Linked DNA regions of Coturnix japonica. The main gene of each other region encodes a partner of the protein of the gene in region 3 in a complex. Links are inferred from orthologs where the notes say so. Each region holds a gene or a part of one and is shown on either strand. Other genes may lie near its edges. The genes, in order: FST, ACVR2A and INHBA.

Region 1 (7,723 bases), on a different chromosome or scaffold from region 3:
ATTTCTTCCCAGCACTGCATTGAATATCTTCACAGGACTTCGCTTCTAAAAATACACACGGAATACTAGAGGTAAGTGAACAGACAAAGGAAACAAAAAAAAGCAACCCCTAACAGCCCCAAACTCAATTTTCCCCAATGAACTATGAATAGTCAAAGCTAAAATGCAGTAGCTGGGATGATTCTTGATGGTCTTAATCAAGTAGACCCTTGGATACCACTGCCTATCTGTACAGTAGGGAGAAAGGACAGGTGTGCCAGTGGACCTTGGCCCTAGCAGTATGGAATTACATTTGCCTATTGCACATGACCTTTCTGCTCCATTTCCTGTCAGTGGACATTCAGCTCACCAAATTAGTGATAAGTGGAGAATTTGTCAACGCATTCAGCATTTCTAAATCAATTACTTTTAAACTAACCCACATAAAGCTGCTGTCTACAGGATTGTTAAGGGAATTCACCTCAAGCTGTGCCAACCAAAAGCAGCCTGAGATTCTCCAGCATCTCAGCAGCAATTTGGAAGGGCAGAGGTTGCCCTAAAGTTGCTTCCTTGCAACATATTTCACTATCTCCTCTTTCTCAAAATCACAGTGCAAAATGTCAGGATGCACAGAGGTTATTTTACTATCTTCACCCGATAGCTGTCCCCAAACTCTGCAATATTTTTAAAGAGTAAAAAGTAATCAGATGTTTCCAATTAAATTAATGCAAGCTTTGCCAAGACCACTTGAAGACAATTGTTTCCAGGAATTCAGATCCACTGAATATCAAGACCTTGTTATGCCGTAGCCATGTAATTATCGGCCTAATGGTGGATACTTCTCTCTTGGACACAAATGTCAGCACCCACAGTCATGGCAAGAGGAGCAGGATCAACCCCTCTATGCCCCTTTTGCAGTTTTTTTGTTGGTTTTGTTTTTCCTGGAGCAAAGCTCACTCTGACTCTCGTTTCTTATGGAGAGGAAAACAAACCAAGGCTGCTGGGAGTCTTACCTTCTCCAAAGCACAAACTTACTCCCTCCTTCCCTCACTTCCCTCCCCCTTCAAACAATCCATCCACCCATCCATCCATCCATTCACCCACCCACCCACTTCCACATAACATGATAAAACAGATGAGTTTGCAAGCTCCCCCCTGCACTTATCCCTCTGGCCAAGATACCTACTGATGCATTTTCCCTCGTAGGCTAATCCAATGGATCTGCCCAGCAGGCAGGTCGCTTTTCTCAGGTGGCAGGCACTGGCATAAGTTATGCCATCATTCCCACAGAGATACTGTTCAGGGGAGGTAGGCTCAGGGCAAATTCGATTACATGTCACACAGTAGGCGTTATTGGTTTGATCCACCACACATGTGGAGCTGCCTGGGCATAAAACATCCCTACAGGTCTCTGAAATAAAGATGGAAACAAAAAATGATTAATAGAATATGTGGGCGCCCCAGTGAGGAGTGAATTGGTGACAGAATGATACAAACAATCGGACAAAAGCCTTCAGCATTGGTACTCATTTAAGGGCTGCTGGAGACCTTTCCATCTCAGGGTAGCATGAGGAACACAACTGCTGCTAAACTGTGAGGAACTCTCAATCAATCCAGCTATATCCTAGACTATGAGCATGGTTGGAACATCACTCTGGTTACTGTGGAGAAGCATGCAGCTCCTCCTCTTTACACTCACACACACATCCTATGCCATTTGATGGAAATTGGAAGAGATTTGCAAACCTACTTTTGCACTTGCCCTGATACTGGACTTCAAGTTCGGGCTGTTCTTTACATCTGGCTTTGAGAAGGGCACACTCGTTCCTGTAGGTTTTCCCATCTAAGCCACACACGGGGCCCTTCCAGGTGATATTAGAGCAATCTGGAGCACAAACACACCGAGGTTTGTTCTTCTTGTTCATTTTACATTTCTTCCCGGGTCCACAGTCCACGTTCTCACATGTTTCTGAAGGAAGGAAAGAGGCATAACTTTATTACCAAACATGCAGAAGAGACTTGTGTCAAAAGCGCCCAAAGCAAAAAAGACATGGAGACCCCCGGGCATAAAATGACAGCACCCCTCACACTGCTACCATGCAGGAAACAGACCTGGAAGGAAATCCTGGAGCCAGGAGAGCCACGTGCAAAGAGCCCCCTCCCCATCTCCCACTGACCTGTGCGGATGAGGAGCAGCAGTCCCCCTACCCCGGCGCTGCTTTGCGATGGCCCTCAGCCCTCGGCGGTGGGCAGCACGATTACAGCACTGCCGTCTCCAGGCCCTCATCTGGCCACCCCATCAGGCCACCCCAAGCCCGAGCCACCCGCGACTCCCGGCCCCCTCACCTTTGCACGGGATGCAGTTAGGGGCTCCCCCATTAAAAATCATCCACTTAAAGAGCGTGTTGTCGTTGACGTCCTCCTCCGTCCACGAAGTCGTCAGGCGGCCGCTCTTGCAGCACTCCTCTTTGCTGAGGTCGGTCTTGTAGAGGACCTGGCAGCGGCCGTTCCGTGCCTGCCGGAGCCAGCAGTTCCCAGCTGCGGGGGACAGGGGCGCACCGGGCCGGGTCAGTGCCGGGACCAGCGGCACGGGCACCGCGCGCGCTTCGCACTGACTTTTACTGGACTGCTGGCATTATTTGTCCCGTTCCACAACCCGCATCCGGCCCGGTCCGCTTGGGTGAGATAACAATAAATAAATCAGAAAGAAAAAGACCGGATCAAAACAGCACGAAGCAGTTTCCCAGGTCTTTACTCCATATGTAGAGCAGAAGGAGCACTGCCGGCACGTGACAGAGGCTTGAAAAGGATGTGCATTTAAAAGGGAATAAAAAGAAAATCGCGCTTGCAGTTCCTCCCTCCTCCCCCTGCCCTCTCCGACGCGGCCGCCCGGCAGCATTGTGTTAGTGCCGCACGCACCCCAGCCCCAGCACGTTTTGCAATCCGCACCGACTGGGAACATTCGCTGTGAGCGAACTCTTTCGAAATCTCCACATTTCGCTTCTTCTATTAACAAACGTCTTCCCTTCGCTAAAACAACTCAGCGGAGCTCCGACAACAAAGACAAGAAAAAAAGTCAGCAAAGTACACGAAACAGGAGGGCACCCCGATAGAGCTCCCTGCGGAGTTCTTCAGAATCGATCACACTGGAAAAGTAGGAGGTGCTGTCTCCCCCGCGAGCGTTTCAGAGGAAAGCACGCAGCACGCTGTCCTCAAACCGGACAGTGGGTTTTTTTTTTCCTTTTTTTTTTTTTTTTTTCCTTCCCCCACTGGTATCCCTGTTATTCGTGGAGTCAAGCCAAGAACATGAGTCCAAGCAACTCCCCCTGTTTTAGCTGGAGAGTTTGGGTTGGGATGAGCCTCTCGTGCATAACCAGTGTGACTCCACCAGCGACTCGATACCAATTGATTATGGTGCCCACCCAGCCAAGGCTCGATCCTGCTCCTTCCTCCAACGGAGCGCACCGCACCAGGGCCGGGCTCGGCCCGCCGGGGCGCCGCTGGGCGCGAGGAACATCCTCCCCTCACCCCTCCCGGCTACAAAACATGGAACAAACAACGCCCTTGCAGAAAAGAAAAAAGAAGAAAAAAGAAAAAAAAAAAAAGAAAGAAAAAAGAGTTTTGCGTCTTACAGTTGCCTACATTAACTATTGCTCTAACTCGGGAGGGGGAGAAGAAATGGGAAAAAAAAATGAAAACCCAGACATGCAGGTTGGGACGCAATCAGTATCAGGTGGAAAAAAAACAAAAACACCCCAAACTGCAAATCACTGTTTCCTAGTGTCGAAAGAGGGCTCTTAAGAGTTGTCAGTATCAGGTTCAGGATCGTTTTGTTCGCATGGGAAAGAATAATTAAGTAAGCAAACTTATTTAGGCACACTCCTCATAGCAGGAGAATTTACAACACTTATTCACACACACACAAAGGGGGTGGGGGGAGGGAAGGAAATCCCAATATTGAGGGAATGCCCGGAAAGTGACCACCACCGCTTCTGAAAGTGTCAGCTGTGCGCCCGGGGCTTCTGTCAGAAGGCGAGATAAAAATCTGAGTAGAATTACCAACAAACTTTGAGCACTCGCTCGGGACATGAGCGCAGGAAAGTTCCCCGCGATGCTGCTCCTCATTCACGCTGCATAATCACGAGGAGTGCCAAGAAACATCCCCCCGTGCCCTCCGTGCCCATGCGGAGCAGGGAAGGTCCGAACCGAAGGGGAACCTACGTGACATCTCCGCGCCCTGTCCCGAGCAGTCCCGCGCCCGCTGCTAACTTCTGTCCGTTCGGACCTTGGAGAGAGGCGTGTAACAAACATCGCAGCGAAGTAAGCAGCGCCCGAAAGACGGAAAATAAGAGTAATAGTAACAACACTAATAATAAAACACACTTCCGAATAAACGCTGTGGTCTTACCCAGCGCTGTGTGATCTTCCATGAAGTGGTAGAGAAACATCAGGAGTACGAGCATGCCCGGGTGGATCCTCTGATTTAACATCCTCAGCGTAGCAGGGAGTGAGAGAGACACAGGAACAGCGTGAAGGGGAGTAGAGAGACGGAGCGAGCACCAGCCAGCCTGCTTATGATCGCTCTATTGAATGAACGTCAGGCTCTGAATGCAGTCTCTCTTTAAATCTATACGGGGGTCTTAGCTGTCTGCGGTGGGCGGTCTCCTAATGTGTGTGTGTGCCTGCTCGGGGGTGGGGAGATTTAAAAAGTTCAGTGTGAATCAGGTGACATTTTCCACCTTCTGGAAACCCTCTCCAATTATCTGCTGGAGGTGCACGCACACACGCGGGCGCGCTCCCCCGGGCGCGCACCCGCGCAGCCCCGCGCGGCGGCGGCTCGGCTCGGCTCAGCACGGTGCGGTGCGGCCGGAGATCGCGCAGCCTCCGCGGGCGCAGAGCGCGGTCCCGGCGCGGGGGGCGCAGCTGGGAGCGGCGCGGCTCGGGAGCAGCTCCCGGCCGGGGTTCTCCCCGCGCGGCGGCTCCGCGGCTGCCATCCCCGCGCGGAGCGGAACGGAATGGAGCGGAGCGGGGCCGCCGCGGGCGGGGAGGCGGCCGGCGGTGTCGCGGCCGGGGCTCGGCCCCCAGAAACCCGAGAGGGAGAGAGCGATCAGCCGAGCACCAAACAAACAAATAAATAAATAAATGGAAAGAAACCAAATAAAAGTTTAGTACGTAGGGCTCTGCCCAAGTGACGGCCTTTTTCACTGGGAGCCTGGGAGGACGAGACGGGAATGGGGGCGACGTAGGCGGTCTCCTTTCAGAATCAGAAAAGATTGCAACATCGATAATGAACTTCTAGGGCACTAGTTTATTAAGCACAGTCTGGCATTATTCTCCTCTTAGAAAAGTTGGCGGTCGCTCATTTATAACATTTTTGGCACCGCTGAATGAAACTGAGTAGGCGATATTTCCTTTTATACAAAACGATTACTTAACGGAAAATGGTATTGTTTATTCAAAAGCTGCCTTTTTAATTTCGATTCTTTCGCTTTTCTGAGCCACCAAAGCACAACAGACTGCGAAGTATGCAGACAGGAATGCCCGGACAGTGCCGGGTCAGGGCCCGGTGCGCGCGGCCGCCCGCGCCTCCCCCGGCCCTCCCCGAGCCCTCCTCCGCGCCGCCTCCGCCGCCCGCCCCCTCCCCACAACTGCAAATAACTCAGCGATAACAGATTTTTTTCCACCAACTGCAGGAGATAGTGCTAATCTTTTAATAAAAGATCCCATTACAATGGGATCTGTCTGGACAGACTATAATAGATCCAGAAATACAGCCGTGCTAATATTAGAAGACAGTTGTTTGGGTGCCTCAGCCCGGGCCCGGGTCCCGCTTTGAAAGTGGGCATGAATCACAATGTCCCCGGTGCCACCTGCAGTCACACGCATTAAGCGGCAGACTGGTAAATGATTGACCTCGTCGCATTTCTCTCTCTCTCTCTCTCTTTCTCTCTTTTTTTAATCCTTCATTTTTTCCTATTTCTTCTTTTTTTACTCTTCTGTCTTATTTTCTTTCTTTCTTTTTTTTTTCTTTTTCTGTTGTTTGTTATCATTACGACCACTGTCCCGCCTGGCGCCCAGGCATTTTCAGCACTTCGGGAGCACCGCATCCTTTTAAATCTATCTTTCTCCCGAATTGGTGCCGCTCCCTCACTGTCCCTGCCTCTCCCTCCGCGCACGCAGCGCTGAATGCAGGGTTGCGTAGTGCCCTCTAATGGCAGATGGCATTAACAATTGACATCGCAGCACTCCGGAGCCGCGAGGGAGCCCTCCGAGGCCGCCGCTTCTCGTGGAGCGGACGGACAGAGCCCCGCGTAGCGCCCGGCGGCAGCAGCGCAGCGCCGCGATCCGGCCCTGGGCACCGTGCGGGCGGCACTGCGCTGAGATCTGAGCCTGCCGCTCGCCCCGAGCTCACCTTTCACATAGGCTCACCTTTCTCCTGTTTTTCTCTTCTTTTTTTTTTTTTTTCTTTTTCATTTTTTGGCTCCCCTCTCCAACTTTATGATGTATTTTTCTTTCTCTTTTTTCTTTCTCTTTCCCTCCCCTCCCCCCCCCCCGGCTCCCCCCAAAATTGGCCCATATGGTGTTTATCCTGAAAATGTTTTCAACTATTAGAGAGGCATTTTCAGGCCGTATTCCTGGAAATGAGATGCCGGATGGGTCAATAACGTTTGCACATGTGCTTCATGCGTGCATCATCGGGAGATCAATATGATTGCGCTGGTATGGAGATTTGTATCACACCTGTTCTCTGACATCACATAGAAACAGCTGCTGTTTCTTTTATTGTTTTGTTTTGTTGTTTTTCTTTCCCCCCTTTCTTTTTCAAAAGCTAAATTTTGGGTTTGTGTGTAATGACATGTCAGGGATATATTGTACAAACAGAAATGCTCTCTTCTTTTTCAGTGTGTCCCTCCCTCTTGAACTTCCCCACCTTTTTCTCCTTTGCCAACTATCACATTTAAATTACCAAAAAAACAATAGGGTTGATCTGTAAATGAATTGTCAGGCAGCACACAAAAAGAGTGTTGTTCTCAGCCTGTCGGATTCTGAAACTTCTTTCTACCAAGAAGTGTATACATTTTAATATATGTGTTTGGATGTGAATCCATTCTCTACAGCTGGCCCTGAACTTAGAATAATAAAGCTTTTTGAAACACCCGCATACGTTGACATCTCAAACGTTTGGAGAGTTCAGATATAGCTCTCGGTTTGTGTAAAATGTGTGGTTTTGTCCTATCTCTAGTAGAGCTGTATCTACAGCAGACCCCAAAATATTAAGTGGCTGATCTCTTAGGAAATTGCTGTAAAACACTGAGTAGGAGGAAGAATAATCCCCAAGTGTAACCTTGTGTAACTGCTATTAACGCACATCCATGTATATGTGGATTATTTGTTTCATGATAAGTCAATATTCACTGCATCAATATGAGGTATTTTGTGTACTCTGTCTCCCTCAAAGTGCAATCTCTCGGCAGAGGAACTGTTGCCTGTGTCAAGAACAGGTCACCTCAGGACCTTCTCTTTAACAAGGAACATGTCTACTTAAAGTTTTTGTGGGTGTGGATGGATTGTGAGGAAAACCTGATTATTTGGAAGGGTTCTGGATTTGGAGTGAGAAAATTTGGAAGTCTGTCCAGACACTTCCCAGCCTAAAACTCAAGAGAGACAAAGAAGCCTCTGGTACCCTCCCACTGTCCTGGATGCATTTGTCATCTGAGCAGGTCTCTCACACAACTGGCATCTC
Region 2 (7,734 bases), on a different chromosome or scaffold from region 3:
ATACATGAGGTATTTATTAACTTCTAAGGAAGTATTCTAAGGAAATAAAGCCTGGATACCTGACCTAAAAAGATAAATGATCATTGGTATAAATGTTGCCTTTAAAGAAAATGATTTGTTGGAGAATGTATTTAAGTGTTCATTTGCATAACGTTTTCTATCTGTGTTTGCTTTTAAACCAGAAGCTGGGAAACATTCATCTCAGTGTAGGTCCACAGGCTGCATCTGATTACATTAAAAAAGGAATTAGTCACACGTACAAACTCAGTGTAAACAGTTTTATGTAACAAGAAACAGACCAAATCCTATTCATTTGTAGTTATTAGTACTGCTCACGTGAACAAAATGAGCGTACTTTGGCTGAACACCACAATACCTGAATATCCAAAACGGGGCTATGATTTCAACATGTATTTTAGTTTGTCCTTATGGAGATAGCTGGGTTCAGCAGTGACGTGTAAGATTTTTAAGTCTGATGATAAGCATAGCAAGAGAAAACTTTGATGGGCAGACATGTGGTGACACTATTCAAAAGCAAACCAGAGAGAAGCTTTCAATATGATGCATCTTAACTTGTTAATGCTGCATTTTCTTGTGTTCCAAAGCTGCGTTATCAAGGTAACTGTAAAACACCTCAATAGTTTTGGAACAATAATAACAGCAATAATAATAATAATAATTCACAGTGATTTCATTGACCAGTCCACTAGAACTGAATATTTGTACTAAAACTCTTTTAAAATACAAAAAGTTTTACATAAATTCTGTATACTCATATGAAATTAAGAATAACTTTGAGGTAGCTGTTTACCCATGTATTTATGTAAAACAGGCAGCCCTGCAGTATCTGCATCTTTTCCCACAGTATGGAAAACTAAGCTGCCTAGAAAGGAGGAGATCCTTGCAAACAACACTGATTTCCTGCTGCTTTGCTCACTTCTTGTCTCAGCTCTATAAGGTCAGCGTTTGAAACACGTTTCTCTTTTCCTTCCAGGTATACTTAGAACACAAGGGGAGATTAACGAGGTAATGACAAAGGTTGCATCTATTATTGTTATTGCTGATATTATAAAGCCCATGTTTCTTACTCTGCATTTTAAAAATGCCTGCATAGAGACTACGAATGAGTCTTGCACAATAGATTCTTACCTACAATGCTGCTTCTGTGTAAACAGTATTGATCCAGTGTGGGAACGGCAAAGGCACAGATGAAACCCTCTAATCATAGCAGCGCTCTGAAAAGAAAAATGAGACAATGCTGTTTTTTTAATTCCCATTACTCCCTAAAAGGAAAGTTACATTTGTGCTGCCTCTAAACCAAGCAATGTGAACAATAGAACAAAACTAAGATCACATCCATTTCATGGTGTTAATGCTGCTGCTCACAGGCTCCCTGTAGATGTCTATGTCCCTGATACTGTGTCTTCAGTGCTCATGTGTCACAGTAAATGATTCATTAAAAACACACAGACAGACTGATCTTAGAAGTGGGCAAGAAGAGCTGGAGTTTAAGGCAAAGGGAAAAGAGAAGTAAAAAGTGACAAGGTAGAAAAGGGAAATGCTCCCAAAATCCACGTGAGCAAGGCAAGCAAAAAGACATCTAAAAAGAGACAGCAACTGTGTTGACATTTCATATCTCTTCGTGGGATAAAACTCATCCTTTTACAAACAATAATAGCAAGAACCCAGAGCAGGCACAAAGCATTCTGCATCAAGTACCTCACAAAAACACTAAGTAATTCCTGCTAAGGCCTGCACAATATTTGCACCTATCTACTTCATTTCTTTTTGGAAGCAAAATTCAACAGGAGCGAATCTCTGATGCAGTTCTATTCATGTTGTGTTTCCAAAGATACAGCTGAGCCCAGTTAAAGGTGTTGCATCCATGTAAGAAAACCGGGTTTTATTGTTCACATACTGAAAATAAGCACATTTCTGCTTTTTCTTAATTATTTCCTTTCTTATACTACATTAAGTAGCTGTGCAAATGATGAAAGGCTTGCTTAGAGTTGAAAATAGACCAATACCTATAATAATATTGATACTGCTGGACTGAAGACTGAGTGGGCTCCTTAACCCCAGACATCAGCAGTCATCCTAACCCAGACGTATCACTTGCCATGGTCGCATAAGGCTTCAAAATTGGAGAAAAAATAAAGGAATATATGTTTTGCTTATGATTCCTCTGATCCTGATGAATACAATGGCCGAGATCAGCCCTTTAAGGAGGATCGCTGCTTTTGTGGATGGCCAGGAGGCTCCACTCTGCTCAACTGACACTGCAGGCAAAGACCTGCCCATGGTTAAGAACAAGGAGCAACTTGAGAAATCTCGAGATACCTCCTTCCTTCCTACAAAATTCATGCAAATGTTACACAGGTGGCATATTTGTGCTATTATATCTATCTATCTATATATATAAACACATACAATGGCAATATTTTTAGCTGTAATTTCCTGCTCATGTGGCAACACGACAAGCATCCCGAAGAAGCTGAGCAAAGTGAAAACGCAACCTGCAGAACAGGTCACGTTTAAATACTCTGCTATTGAAGAATATTAAAAGCTACAGATTAAGTAGGAGTGTTGTAATGCATTAATTAATGCTTGTAAATCATCCTGAAATGCCTGGATTAAAAAAAATGGCATAAAAAGTGTTGCCACACATCCCGGTGCTTCATGATGCGCACGATCCCATACGGCTTGTTTGATTTTGGGGTATTTTTCCAATCAAAAACGTCACTGGAGGATGACTTTGTGTTGGTGTTTGAAGTGAGGATCATAGAATCATTAAGGTTAACAAAGAGCTCTGAGATCCCCATGTGGACCCACCCCCCATGCCCACATCCAGGGCACATCCATGGGATGGTAACCCCCACCCGGTGCAGCTGTGCAGTGCCTGGCTGCTCTCTGGAGAACAAATGGCTCCTCGTATCTACTCTGAACCTCCTCCAGCACAACTTGAGGCCATTACCCAGCCTTGACTTACGTTTGGTGGCCCTGCCAGGCAGAGGGGTTGGAACTACATGATCCTTGAGGTCCCTTCCAACCCGGGTCATTCTGTGATTGACTTGCAAACCCACACATGTGAATTACCTCGCACACAGCACCCAATGTAGCACCACGTAACGACAGCTCCCCACCAAGGGAACTTGGACCGTAACCCTCCAATGCACATCTATAGTTAGTGATGTAGTTATTGAGAACTTGGTGCTTCTTGCTTCAGAAATACAGAAGTTAAATCCCAGCGCTGAGGCCTTTGTGCTTCCCCACATCAGTCCTCAACACCTAAACAAGCATTTCTTTATCCCTGATGCAAACTATGGGCATCTATTAAAGCCACCAACGGGGCATTAAATAAAGGAGGGCTTCCCACCGCAGTCGTTACACAGAGCAGCTCTGAGGGCGGCGCGAGCACCACGCCCTGAGGCGGGAAGGCGGGGCGCGTGCACGCAGCCCGCTCGCGCGCCTCCTCAGCCGTGCGCGCGCACACGCGGGCAGGTGGGAGGGGAGGGGAGGGGGGAGCGCGCCCCGCCCCCTCGGGGTGGGTCTGGAGGGGGGCGGGGCCGAGCGGCGCTCCTCGCGCTGTGATTGGGCGGCGCGGCTGTCAATCCGATGCGGCGCGCTCTCGCACGGCGTGTCTTGCCGGGCTGCCGTGAGTGTGGAGGGGAGGGGGGGGAGGGGGAGGAGGAGAGGAAACAAAAACAATCGGCCGGGCGCCGCCATCTTGGGTCCGTTCTCCACGCCACACAAGTGAATGGGTAGATATGAAATTACCACAGGGGAGCAGCGGCAGCAGCAGGGTACGGAGGGTCGTTCCGAGCTGCAGGTTGGACTTGGGAGACTTTAGAGACGGCTCCAACCACCAGCACCGCCCGCAGATCGAAACCGGGCTCGGCCTTTTCTCCTCGGCAACCCTCAAACCGCACTGCTGGAGGGACAAAGTTGGTGTCCGCCGCTCTGACAACGGCAAAAGGGAGACGGGAGAGACCAGCCGAGATCCGAGCGGGACGGGAGTGAGGCGGGAGGAGAGCTAAGGACCGGGAGATAAGGACTGAGGGCTGCGAGCTCAGGGCTGAGGGCTGGGAGCTCAGGGCGGCACGAGGGCTTCTCCTTGTCAGCCCTTCTCCTGTGGGCCCTTCTCCTGTCGGTCCTGCTTCTCTTTTGCGTTTATTTGTTTGTTTTTCCCTCAAAAGCAGCAGACTCGTTGCGGGGCGATGTCCCCGGGGGCTGCCGAGGGAAGGGCCCTGCGGGCGGCCGTGCAGCCCTGAGCGGCCCCGCGGAGCGCAGCCACCGGGAGCCGTGCCTGGCCTTGCCGTTGCTTTGCTCTTTATTTTCTTTATTATTATTTTTTTCCCTTCATTTTGCGTTTAAATACCAAGCCGAGTCTCGGGGGAGCTGGGTGGGTGGGGGGGGCATGGAAGCATCGTAGGGGGAGGAATCGTCGTAGAGGGGGGGAATCGTAAATCGTGTTTCCCGTAGCGGAGCGCTCAGCCCCGCTGCCGCTCGGACTGTCGGAGCGCTGCCCGGAGCCGCCATGGAGCCACCGCGCTGCCCGGAGCCCCGCGCTGCATAACGGGAACCGGGACATAGAGCGGGGAAACACGGAGCTTCATGACGGAGTGAGCGCCGATACACACCGCCTCGGATCGCACCCGGCGGCTCCGCCGTTGACTTCAATCAATCTTCCTTTATTTGCCGTGGATTCGTAGCGTACTTTTGTGAATTAAATCCCGCCGCTCTTGGTCCAGAAGCCAAATGACACGTGTGTTTTGAAACGCCGCTCACAATAGTTCGAGCCCCCCCGAACCCGGATTCTCGCTTTGAAGCGACCGTCGGTCTCCAAACGACCCCGATTTTACTGTTTGGTGAACACTATCAACGGAGAAGTTTGCTCTAGATCGCTTTATAACGGTTCCGCAAGAAGAGGGGATTGTCCGGCTTGCAGGACCGAGAAACTGGATGCTAAAAGTCACTTAAATGTTCTAACGCCATTGGAAAATGGGAGCTGCTACGAAGTTAGCGTTCGCTGTTTTTCTCATCTCGTGTTCTTCAGGTGAGTGCGTGCTTTTGTTGCTTTGGGCTCAGCTGTTGGAAGCACGAGGTGATTGTATCGGTGGGACGAGAGGTCATTTCTTGAGATGAGGTTTAGGTTGGATACCAGGAGGAAGTTTTTCCCCCAGAGGGTGGTGATGCACTGGAATAGTTTCCCCAAGGAGGCTGTGGATGCCCCATCCCTGCAGGCATTCAAGGCCAGGCTGGATGTGGCTCTGGGCAGCCTGGGCTGCTGGTTGGTGACCCTGCACACAGCAGGGGGTTGGAGCTGGGTCAGTTTGTGGTCCTTTTCTATCCAGGCCGTTCAGTGAGTCTATGAAATGCCAAACGTTTGGGGATGGCAGTGAAAGATTCCTGTTCTCACTGTCATTCCCCGGTGCACAACTCTTTCAGGTACGTGCAGTGCTCATAGTGCTCGTGTGGGTCCCACCCGGGGCTGTGCCCACCTCGTTCACTTGTGGGCAGTTCCCGGCCTCGTGTTTGCTCCAGTGGATTATTTACCAAGCTGTGAAATATTCCGAACTTAATTTAGGGCTCTGGAAGCGTCCAGCGGTGGATGGCAACCTTCATTAATGCTTCATTAGTTCGGAATAATTGCTGTTGTGAAAGCATGAGCTCATCCCGCACCGATAGCGAGGGCTGAGCACGTATCGGTGCGTGCACCGAAACAGCCCGAAAAGCCAGACTTTCCATTTCCGAACAGTGATTTGTGTTCAGCTGTTGGGTTTCGTGTTTTGCCGTTCGGTTTTTCACTTTCTTAGCGCCTGAAACCCGGCGGTCGTGCTGTGGCTCTCAGACCTCAGAGACGAGCGGTGTGAGAGGCTCCATCCTTTGGGCTGGGAGGGAAATGGTGATGGAGCAACCGGTGGCTGGAGAGCTGCTGCCACCAGCTGCACCTGAAACCTGCAGAGCTGTGTAACACTCGATGTGTTGCTCGTGTGCTGAGCCTGACCCTTCCTGCTCACGTGCTGAATGTGTGTGCAGCCCTCTGTGTGTGTGTCGATGCACTTTTGGGCTCTGTTCTGTGCAGTGCAGGGACACACTTGTTGCTCATCCTGAAGGCCGGCTGGCTTTGTGCGGGACTGCTCCAGGGCGGTAATGAGATCTGCAGAGCGATGATGCCTTTGAAAACTTCAGCCTTAGGATGCGAGGGATTTTGCTGAACGGCACATTTTCTTGTGGTTAGTAAATGGATAGTCTAGTCTTGTGTCTGTAGTGTTATTGATCAGTTCCGTGTGGGCTAAATGTGCTGTGAAATGGCGATCTCTGCCAGGGAGAAACTGAAAAAAACCCTTTCTGTTTTAAGCAGACAAATAGCAGGGCAGGTTAGGGAGAGATGGGAGTGGTTTTTTGGGTTATTTTTCTTCAGATTAGAGTACGCCATTTATTCCTATTGCGAAACAGCAGGCGATTTCTTGCAGTGATTTTGTCCTGCCCTGGAAGCTGCCTTTCATCTTTCCCTGATAGCTTCTTTTGGAAGAACTCGTGGAACCACATTCCTCTCCATTCAGGAATATCTTCTGCAGGGAAACTTTTCCAGCCCTCTGTCCATTTCTGAAGCCGTGGTGCCATCTGTTCCTCCTGCCTGTCTCTCACCTCCACGTCCTTCTTTCTATCGAGCTCCCTCTGCTTGGAGCACAGAATAGCGACCTTGTTATCTAGCGTTCATTAAAAAGAGCCGTTAAGTAGCAAAACCTGTCCCATCTTCTCCATTTCTTAGTCACGGTGGTGTCGGTGAAACAAATATTTCTCCTCCCTGTAAAGGTAGGAATAATCCTCACTAAGGGATCGGAAGGTTGGCTGTGACTTGGACAGCGGTTCAGATATTAAGGGCATCGTTGTGGTGGTTATTCCTGTATTCCACATGAAGTATCCTGGTATTTAACACACATTAAACTATTTTCTGCTCTACTGCTTGGAGTAGTGGAGCTTCTGCAGACCTGGTGTGGGTATAAACATGAAGAGAAGGTTTTGTTTTTACACTCGGAACCATCCGATTCTGTGAGCTTCCAGCATGAAGTCCAGCGCTTTGATGAGCAGCGTTCCTTCTGATCGCTGGCACTCGCTCAGGTTCAAACTCCTATTGATCAGTCCATTCTCACATCATGGTCAAAAGAATAAGCTTCCTTTACAGTTTTTCAACGGAGAACGGAGTGGGGGGTGGGGGGAGGAACCTTCCTTCGATTGTTTATTCCAGAATATTGGCAGTGGCTGAAGAAATGCAGGAGTTCAGGTGTAAAGGCGACTGGTTCCACTCTCCAGCTGCTGGGCTCTGTGCATGTATGTATGTATGTATGTGTGCATGTGGGGGTGTTGGATTTCTGCCTTTATTTATTTGCAGTGTCCTTTGTGCAGCTATTTTCCAAAGTTGCTTACGTGGCCCATTAATGCTATTGTTCTTTAACTAGGTGAAAATGGTTTGTTCTGTGCCATGGGTGTGGAAGTGGGCTTCAGCATGAAGGCGTTTTATTTAACGATCTCTGAACTGCTGTACAGAATGCTGGGAGCTTCCTTCAGAGGTGTAGGAATTGCCAGTGAGTTCAATCTATCAGTCTTTGCTAAGAACGTGGGAATATTTCCACTTTCTGACTGTGGTATTTAAATAAGAGAATCTGTGTTATGGTACCGGCCTTCACAGCAGTTTGGATGGCTGGATAAAAGTGGGTATGGATTTGCACC
Region 3 (7,860 bases):
AGAAAAACACCATTCTGAGACCTCTGTCAAAGCTTGGGTTTAGGATCCCCATAAAAGTGACTGTCCTGCAAAGAAGTAGGTACGTGCATGCTCACAATCTGTTTCTTCAAGCATGCCTCTCTCGCTGTCCTTCAAGGAGGAAAAATAAAAATAAAATGTTCTTTGCAACAACTGGAACCCTCAGTGTCAGACTGCAGAAAAAACTAATGAAACCTGTTTCAAGAGGCTTCAATCCACAGCACATTGCAGCTTGAAAACTTATTATATGCATGTAAAAAGTGGGAAACAAAACAACCTATCTGGTCATATGTTTCCCATTAACTCCTGATTTTTTGCTCATTCTACTAAAGCTGTTGTGTGAATAGAGCACATACTTTGGTTGGAATCGGTGCTGCTCTGAGTACTCCCTGGTATCAGGGAGTTGAAAATTTCAAGTCTTTTTTTTGCCTGATCCACAGCAGTCTTATTCTGAGACAGATTAAATTTACATTACCAACAGGACATAAAAATACAATTGTAAGTACGATTCAGGCCAAAAAATAAAAAAATAAAAAATCTGAAGGATGGGGATTTTCTGGTAATCAGTGGGTGTTTTGAATGAGTAAAGACTGCATGATCATGCCATTTGTCATAAACGGTACCTCATAAAACCAGTTATTATGTGTATTTAAGAAAGGAGACTGATTTTGAATTTACTTTTGACCTTATGTATATATATTAATTTTGTACTGCCTAATTGGCAGGCAGTAATTTTTGAGTTTTGTTAATGTAAAATGAAATGGAAATTTAAGTTGGTTTTATTTCACCTGTAATTCATTTTAACTTATTTTTAGATGTCTAAATAGTTTTTAATAGTGATGTAATCTGCACGTCAAGAAGCCATGAGACTTGGACATGAGCAATATGATTCATTTTTGAAGAACTTTAAAAGTATGCCTAAGTTAACAAAAGGACATATATATACAAAGAGTGAACTAAAAATTATATCCTCTGCAAAAGGATTCTTAAGCAGATGCATTTTCCCGAATTTGAAAATAATCCAAATTTGCAGTTAGATTATCTGGTATATCCTTAGCGTGATAGCAGACTAAAACAATTTGCTAACTAGTAATTAAATATCTGGCAAATACTGCATTTGAACTAAATCAGTGTTATCTACACTACATAATATCTATAACTAGCTATGCAATAAAACAAGTTGGAGAGTGTCTTCCTGACTCATTGTGTTTGCATTCAGTCTGATTTGAAGTTCTATTCTTTAAATGGATACAGAGATCTCCACTACAAGTTGAATCCACGATATTTTGTCATGCTAGACAATTAGGAGTTTCCATTAGATAATTACCAGAAGTATGTCTCATACAGGAAAAACAGTCAATTGCTGATGTAACAGGATTAACCAATCCAGCACACTGATCCGGCCCACTTACTTTTGACAGACACTATATGTGAGTGTACACACGAGAAGTACAGTATAAAGCTTCGCATTATAAGTACCACAAAGAGGAACTTCAGCAGTTCTTAATGCACAATACAGCAGTCTCCTTCTCAGAGTGAGGACTAGAGAGGTAAAACTTTAAACCAGCTTCTTCCTTTTTAAAACTAAAACTTTTAATTCATGTGCATGCTGTTGCTATTGCTAAGGCAGTGCTGGATGAATGCATATGCAGAGCTCTGCAGCTCAGGTAATTTTATGGAAAGAATCTGAGCCATCGTTTCTGTATTTATTCAAACACTGTGTTTTTTGACATGAACATCTATGTATGTATGCATGCATATTTGTAAGTATGAATGAACTCTCTATCAATGGTACCAGCAAACTCGCTTTTAGAAAACAATGCTTTTAGAAAGTTATGCTTTAACGTTAAATCTGTCATCACCATGGCATGTGGGTATGCTACAGTATACCTATATGTAATAGACTGTGATAAGTGTACCTGTTATATAGGCAAGCAGCATACACCGCACAACATGAACTCAAATGTACTGTCTGTCTTTTAAATTGAAATGTGCCTATCTCTTACTTTTCATCAGACGCTTTTGGGATAGATACTATATTAGAACTATAAATAACGCCTTTAATTATGTCATCTGTTAGTACATCTAATCATGAATGCGTATTTTCATGTCTCTCTTTTTTTTTTTTTTTTTTTTTTTTTTTGTCCAATTAAACTCGTAGTTCTATTTCAAGCTGACTTTCAGACTTTGGGCTGTTCACAAGATCCAAGAAATTTCAATGTATTATAGCGAGGTTTGTGTTACCAAGATGGCTGCAGGGCTTATAATGCTGACAGACCTGTAAGTGTAACAGTATATAACAGTATAGCAACTGAGGTCAGTAAAACGCAGATGAGGGTGTACTGTGAATGCCTTCTAACAGTGAAAGACTTATAAAATACCTTAATTGAAAAGGACTTGAAATATATAACATTTGTAAAACTTGGTTGATTTTTCAATTACTTCTGTATGTTTCACTTACTCTAACTATAATCCCTTGCCTGTCTCTCTGCCCGCATGCCTGTAGTTATCTCACTAAAACGACAGACCTTACAATGCTTATCTTTATGAATTATTCTTTCCCACTAAAATACAATGGTTGATGGTAATACACTGAGAGGGAAATGTTTTCTGGGAAGGAGGTAAGCACACCTGAGAAGAAGAAAGAGGTTTGTGCGTGTGTGTGTGTGTGTGTGTGAGAGAGAGAGAGAGAGGGAGAATGAAAGAAGGTAAATACCAAAGAAGCAGAAGCTCTGAGAAAATCAGAAAAAGTTCAAGTCCAGCGTGAAAGAACCTCAGAAGTTAAACTCCATCAGCTGTAGTTTTCTCAGTTTCTGTTACGAACTCCAAGTGTGAAGGAGTTTGTTAGCTTTATCCTCGCTAAGTAAGGTGGAGAATGGAGATGCTGCTGAAGTTAAAGGCAATGTGAAGCCTTAACAGAGACTTCCCATTGCAGGGCAGAAGCCTTACTGGAATAAACTGCTAAGGTTCTGCTGACATGGACTGGAACTCTGGCTCCTAGCAGTGCTTTAAGATTGCATTTCACTCATTATGTCTTGATCTAATATTACGATTGTGTAGTTTAAATGGATGAAACAAAAAGTTCCTTCGAATAACAATGGGCCAAATGTAGAAGATCTTACTCAGTCTTCACTCAGACAGAATTATTATTGGCACTGATGAGGGATTTGCTTGAGTCAGGAGCAAGTACGATTTGGCCAGATGACATGTAATATGTTCCGTCTTCAAAGCATTTTTCAGACATTACTTGATTATTCCCAAACCTAAATAGGAACTTCTAGGCACAGACTAGCATAGTAGCAGGGATGTTTTTGGTTCCTGAGTAGTACCTTTGCATGTCACAGACCTGTGCCCTACCAGCTCCTCCTGCTCTCAGTGCCTGGCTTGCATTCTGCAGCTGGAGAGAGTATCAAGTATAATAGAGCCCTCCAAACAACAGGATTATTTTGTTTCTGTCAGATCTCCTGCCAGTGTTGATAACCTCCAGCATTTACAAGTGAGCAGAAAAGATCTTTTCTACTCAAGGCAGAATAGCATTCTACCCAAAATATTCTCAGCCCCTGCCATCATCCCGGTCTTGTTCACAAGCTATTTAAGATCTCCTGCTAACCCTAACAATACCATACAGGACAAGAGCAAGGTGCTCATTAATAAAAGGTTTCATTCTTCATTCATTCATGTTTCCTCTGTTTAGTTAAGCCAGAGATACTGTTGAAGGAATAAAACAAACAAAAAAAAACACCAAACCAAACCAAACAAAACAAAAAAAAAGAAAAAAAAAGGAGGGGGGACGACAGCCAGGAGGGAGCCCCAGGAGGGTCAAACTGGGAAAAAGGAAGAGTAAATTTACAGGAATTAAGAGATTTTACACAGGAGGGCAGAAAGCCTGAGTAGTGATATTTGAAGAGAGGTGTGTGTTAGAGGAGCAATGAGCATAAGGAAGCCAGCCTGCCTGTTCCTCCCCCTTCCTAATCATAGCCTTTACTCACAGACAAAACTCCCTCCCTCTCCCATTCACTCACTCACTTTAGGCCAATCCGTCCTCTCCCTCTCTCTCCCTCTCTCTGTGTCTCTCTCCTACTCTGAGACAGAGTCAGAACTCTTCTCCCTGACAGCCACTAACATCTACAGCACTTATTGCATTCAGAGAGGGAACCTGCAAACAAAACTTCACAGAAAACTTTTGGTTCTTGTTCCAGAGAATTTGCTGAAGAGAAAGAAAAACAAACAAACAAACAAACAACACAAACCAGCCCCCAAAAAAACTGTGCGTGAAGGGGGAGGAAAAGCAGGGCCTTTTAAAAAGGGAATCACAACAACTTTTGCTGCCAGGATGCCTTTGCTTTGGAAGAGAGGATTTTTGTTGGTGATTTGCTGGATTATAGTGAGGAGTTCCCCAACCCCAGGATCCGAGGGGCACAGTTCAGTCACTGACTGTCCATCATGTGCCCTCACCACGCTCTCGAAGGATGTGCCCAGCTCACAGCCTGAGATGGTGGAAGCAGTAAAGAGGCACATACTGAACATGTTGCACTTGAGGGACAGACCTAACATCACCCAGCCGGTGCCCAAGGCAGCACTTTTAAATGCCATCAAGAAACTCCATGTGGGAAAGGTGGGAGACGATGGCTATGTGGAAATAGAGGATGATGTTGGAAGAAGAGCAGAAATGAATGAAGTTGTGGAACAAACCTCAGAAATCATCACTTTTGCAGAATCAGGTGAGTGCTTAAAAACAAAGCAGTAAAACAGCCTATTTATCAGAACTGCAATTAACTTCTCTGTAGCAGTACTGCTTTATGCGAGGTTGTGAGATGAGACCTGGGGGAAGGGAGAAGGACGAATGGGGTGGGGTGGGGGGTGGAGGGGTGACGGGGACTCTGAAGGAATTTGATTTTTCTGATTTAGTCTTGCCTGCAGATTGCACTTGCTAGTCACAGGCAGACGCGCAGGGAAGAAGCTCTTTAACCCATCTCAAGCAGAAAGTCAGGCTGCAAAGGGGTGCTCCAAACTGCTTCTGAAACCAAAGTACTTGCACTAAAGTACTGGATTGCAGTGCTGATGGTGAAAGAAAAAGGGCTCAAGGCATTTGGGGATTTTCTAAGGACAGAAAAGTAAGCTGCAAACTACTTGAGAAACTGCCCTTTAAAAATTACAGTGGAAGTTATAAAATCAGATGAGCCAGCTTTAACTTTTAGAAGTGAGAGGGCTTTTTTGTTTTCTAATTTAACACAGCATCTTCGGCAATAAAGAGTTGCAGGGACTGTCAGATGACTTCAATAGAATTGGACAAGTTGCTGTAGCTGATCCAATTTGTAATGCAGACTTCTGCATGATGGAAAAAAAAATTCTGCTCCTAAACTGCTTCTGCCAAAAAGAAAAAAGAAAAAAGAAAAAAAAAAGCAACTTTGATAGTTTATATTTTGAACTTTTTCACAGTTCTGTTTTTTCCTAACTCTTGTATAGTAAGGGTTAAGAATATAGATATTTATTAACTAATGGCTAAGGCTCACATCAACTGCCTATCAGAAACAGCTTTAAAGTTGTAGTTTACTGTCTTATTCCTACACGAATAGGACAAAAACTCATTTTAAATCAGTGGATGTGTATGTGCATATGTATCTGTTTGCATATATATGTTTATGCATGCATCAATGTCAATATCCTGCAAAAACTCTATCATCTAACAGCAACTTTTTATGATGCTGTCTAGCCAAAGCATTTTTCCTGTTGCCAAGACAGTTTTAAAAGAATGTCATTGTTTTGTTTGGTACAGCATATGGTAGGCAAAGTATGCAAAGGAACACCAAACATTTTTGTTTAAAAGTTTGCTGCAGCAGTATAAACAATTAAGACAACACTCAGAGTTTCCAGTCCTGAAAACCTGTTGACTCAGATGTTCTGTTTGCAGGGAAGCCATGCATAAGAAGTGTGCATGCTTTTAAGATCAGACATTCCTGCTGCCTGTCCAATTTCCAACTGCACAGGGACCCCTCGCCTTCGGTGTTCTTGTCAATACACACATTATCAGTCCCTTCAGCATGCAAGCTCAGGCTTTTTTTCTTTTTTCTTTCTTTCTTTCTTTCTTTCTTTCTTTCTTTCTTTCTTTCTTTCTTTCTTTCTTTCTTTCTTTCTTTCTTTCTTTCTTTCTTTCTTTTTTTTNTTTTTTTTTTTTTTTTTTTTTTTTCCATCCCCACCACTTCAGAAAGCAGGCAGACATCAGTGCCAGAGGTCCCCAGAACCAGGGGTGGCTCAACCTTAGTTTAGAAATGAGCTTTTAAAAGCAGCGAAATCTCTACGAGTCAGATTCCCCACCTGGTATTCAGCAGCTCATTCTGAAACATATATGGCATGAGCAGTGGTTTCTCGTCCCTGTGTGAGTCCCAATCATTTGTAAACACATTATTGTCTCTCCTGAGCTCTCACACAAAGGAATTTGGAATTTGATATATGCCCACTCAGTACGACATTCTCCAACGGCGGCTCTTGAAGCCAATGGCTCCCAGGGCCACGTGAGCAGAGAAAATCATGCCCAAGCCCACAGGCTGGCCAATAGTTCAGCCACTAATCCCCCTGCTGCAACAACCCCACACCAGTGCATCACTGAATTTGATTTAGATAGTATTGTCCCATAACTGATAGCCAAATTCATTTAAGAAGACTTATGTTATATGTTATGGAGCATGTTAGGGACATATGCTATGTTCCTATGCCTTTCCTTTCTTGCTCTCCTCTCCAGCTCCCCACCAAGCCTGTCCTGGAAGGCTACTCCAGGCCCACATCCCATGCATGATAGGCTTTTAACTGCAAGAAACAACCTAGAAACTGAGTTCTACGCTTTGGCTTACTGTGGAAATGTTAACTCCACTCTGCAGAGAGACTTCCAGTTGTTGAAACATTACTTTTCATCTGTAGCTGTTCATAGTTGGAGCCTCACTAACAGTGGTGGACCCACCATTCTGCACAGGTTCCAGGGCTGCAATAACTTGAGAAAACTTTTCCTGGGTTCTCTTTCATTTCTCCACCAGCAGTATTGTGTCTCAACTTTATTTTGAGGAAACTGAGACAAAAAGAAGGCAAGTAGTGTGTCAGATAGGAATTATTAGGAATAAATAGTCAGGAACATACTATAGCCGCATGAGCAGTTACCAGTGTTCACTCTGTAGAAACTGGAATAAGTTTAAAGCACCAAGGAGCAAAACTGAGTGTGTTACTCTCACAGTCAGATTAAAGTTCTTCCTGCTTTTAATATGAAACTTGCTGCTTCTCCAAAAGGGGATAGAAAATCAATGAAAATGAATGGAAGCATATTGCCTTATATCAAATAAATGTCTACTGAAAGAGAAGTAAGACTTTAGGCTTTTTGCTCCTTTAGGTATAACTTGACATAAGCCAGCCATTCCCCTTACCTTTTAGAAGCCATGTTTACTGCTTGCCTTCATAAAAAAAGCAGTATTTCCATCCTTCACTAGCTGTATCCTCAGACATACAATGAAACTGAGTGAATGAACAGACAGTACCCTGTGCATGTGGCTCTGGCTTGAGACTGCTCTTTTATAAAAATTCAGGTGAGCACAGGATACAGACAATTAGGAGAAAAACTACATGCAGTGAACTTGTCTGAAACACAGGTGTAGTTACGTCCAGGAAATCAGCAAAATAGTTGGCAGGTAGTTTTCACAGCTAACAAATCCAGGCAGATCTTTGCAAATGTAATGACTGTATTGGGCAAAAGTTTACAAATGCACCCTACTGTCCTCTGGCACTTTTACAAGTAAAACATGGAAATGATTTTCTACTTGCATATCAAACTGCAATTGCTAACCTCGATTAGTTCTGCTA

The links.
Region 1: the proteins of INHBA (region 3) and FST are in contact, whole or in part, in a crystal structure (PDB 2P6A), measured with the Homo sapiens proteins. The link is inferred for Coturnix japonica from reciprocal best matches to the Homo sapiens genes INHBA and FST. Residues at the interface, in NP_002183.1 of Homo sapiens: Asp315, Phe327, Asp337, Trp338, Ile340, Ala341, Gly344, Tyr345, His346, Gly360, Thr361, Gly363, Phe368, Thr371, Arg397, Ser400, Leu402, Tyr404, Asp405, Asp406, Gly407, Gln408, Asn409, Ile410, Ile411, Lys412; in NP_037541.1 of Homo sapiens: Trp33, Arg35, Val44, Leu45, Arg60, Phe76, Met79, Asp135, Glu152, Pro154, Glu155, Val180, Val181, Asp182, Gln183, Tyr188, Val190, Arg221, Thr224, Cys225, Arg229, Ser230, Ile231, Gly232, Leu233, Glu328.
Region 2: the proteins of INHBA (region 3) and ACVR2A are in contact, whole or in part, in a crystal structure (PDB 7U5P), measured with the Homo sapiens proteins. The link is inferred for Coturnix japonica from reciprocal best matches to the Homo sapiens genes INHBA and ACVR2A. Residues at the interface, in NP_002183.1 of Homo sapiens: Ile340, Ala341, Pro342, His346, Arg397, Pro398, Met399, Ser400, Met401, Leu402, Tyr404, Asn409, Ile410, Ile411, Lys412, Asp414, Glu421; in NP_001265508.1 of Homo sapiens: Asn36, Asp53, Lys56, Phe61, Thr63, Lys65, Val74, Lys75, Cys78, Trp79, Leu80, Asp81, Asp82, Ile83, Asn84, Val100, Phe102.

Annotation. Positions count from the first base shown.
Region 1 is NC_029547.1:17,652,351-17,660,073, reverse strand, and holds the start of FST (follistatin precursor), read right to left. Parts: upstream 4,470-7,723; coding exon 4,388-4,469; intron 2,518-4,387; coding exon 2,326-2,517; intron 1,949-2,325; coding exon 1,730-1,948; intron 1,391-1,729; coding exon 1,166-1,390; intron 46-1,165; coding exon 1-45. UniProt on the Homo sapiens protein: Multifunctional regulatory protein whose primary function is to antagonize members of the transforming growth factor beta (TGF-beta) superfamily including activin, myostatin, GDF11 or bone morphogenetic proteins (BMPs).
Region 2 is NC_029522.1:31,389,298-31,397,031, reverse strand, and holds the start of ACVR2A (activin receptor type-2A), read left to right. Parts: upstream 1-3,684; 5' UTR 3,685-5,001; coding exon 5,002-5,056; intron 5,057-7,734. UniProt on the Homo sapiens protein: On ligand binding, forms a receptor complex consisting of two type II and two type I transmembrane serine/threonine kinases.
Region 3 is NC_029517.1:76,021,901-76,029,760, forward strand, and holds the start of INHBA (inhibin beta A chain), read left to right. Parts: upstream 1-3,840; 5' UTR 3,841-3,946; coding exon 3,947-4,739; intron 4,740-7,860. UniProt on the Homo sapiens protein: Inhibins/activins are involved in regulating a number of diverse functions such as hypothalamic and pituitary hormone secretion, gonadal hormone secretion, germ cell development and maturation, erythroid differentiation, insulin secretion, nerve cell survival, embryonic axial development or bone growth, depending on their subunit composition.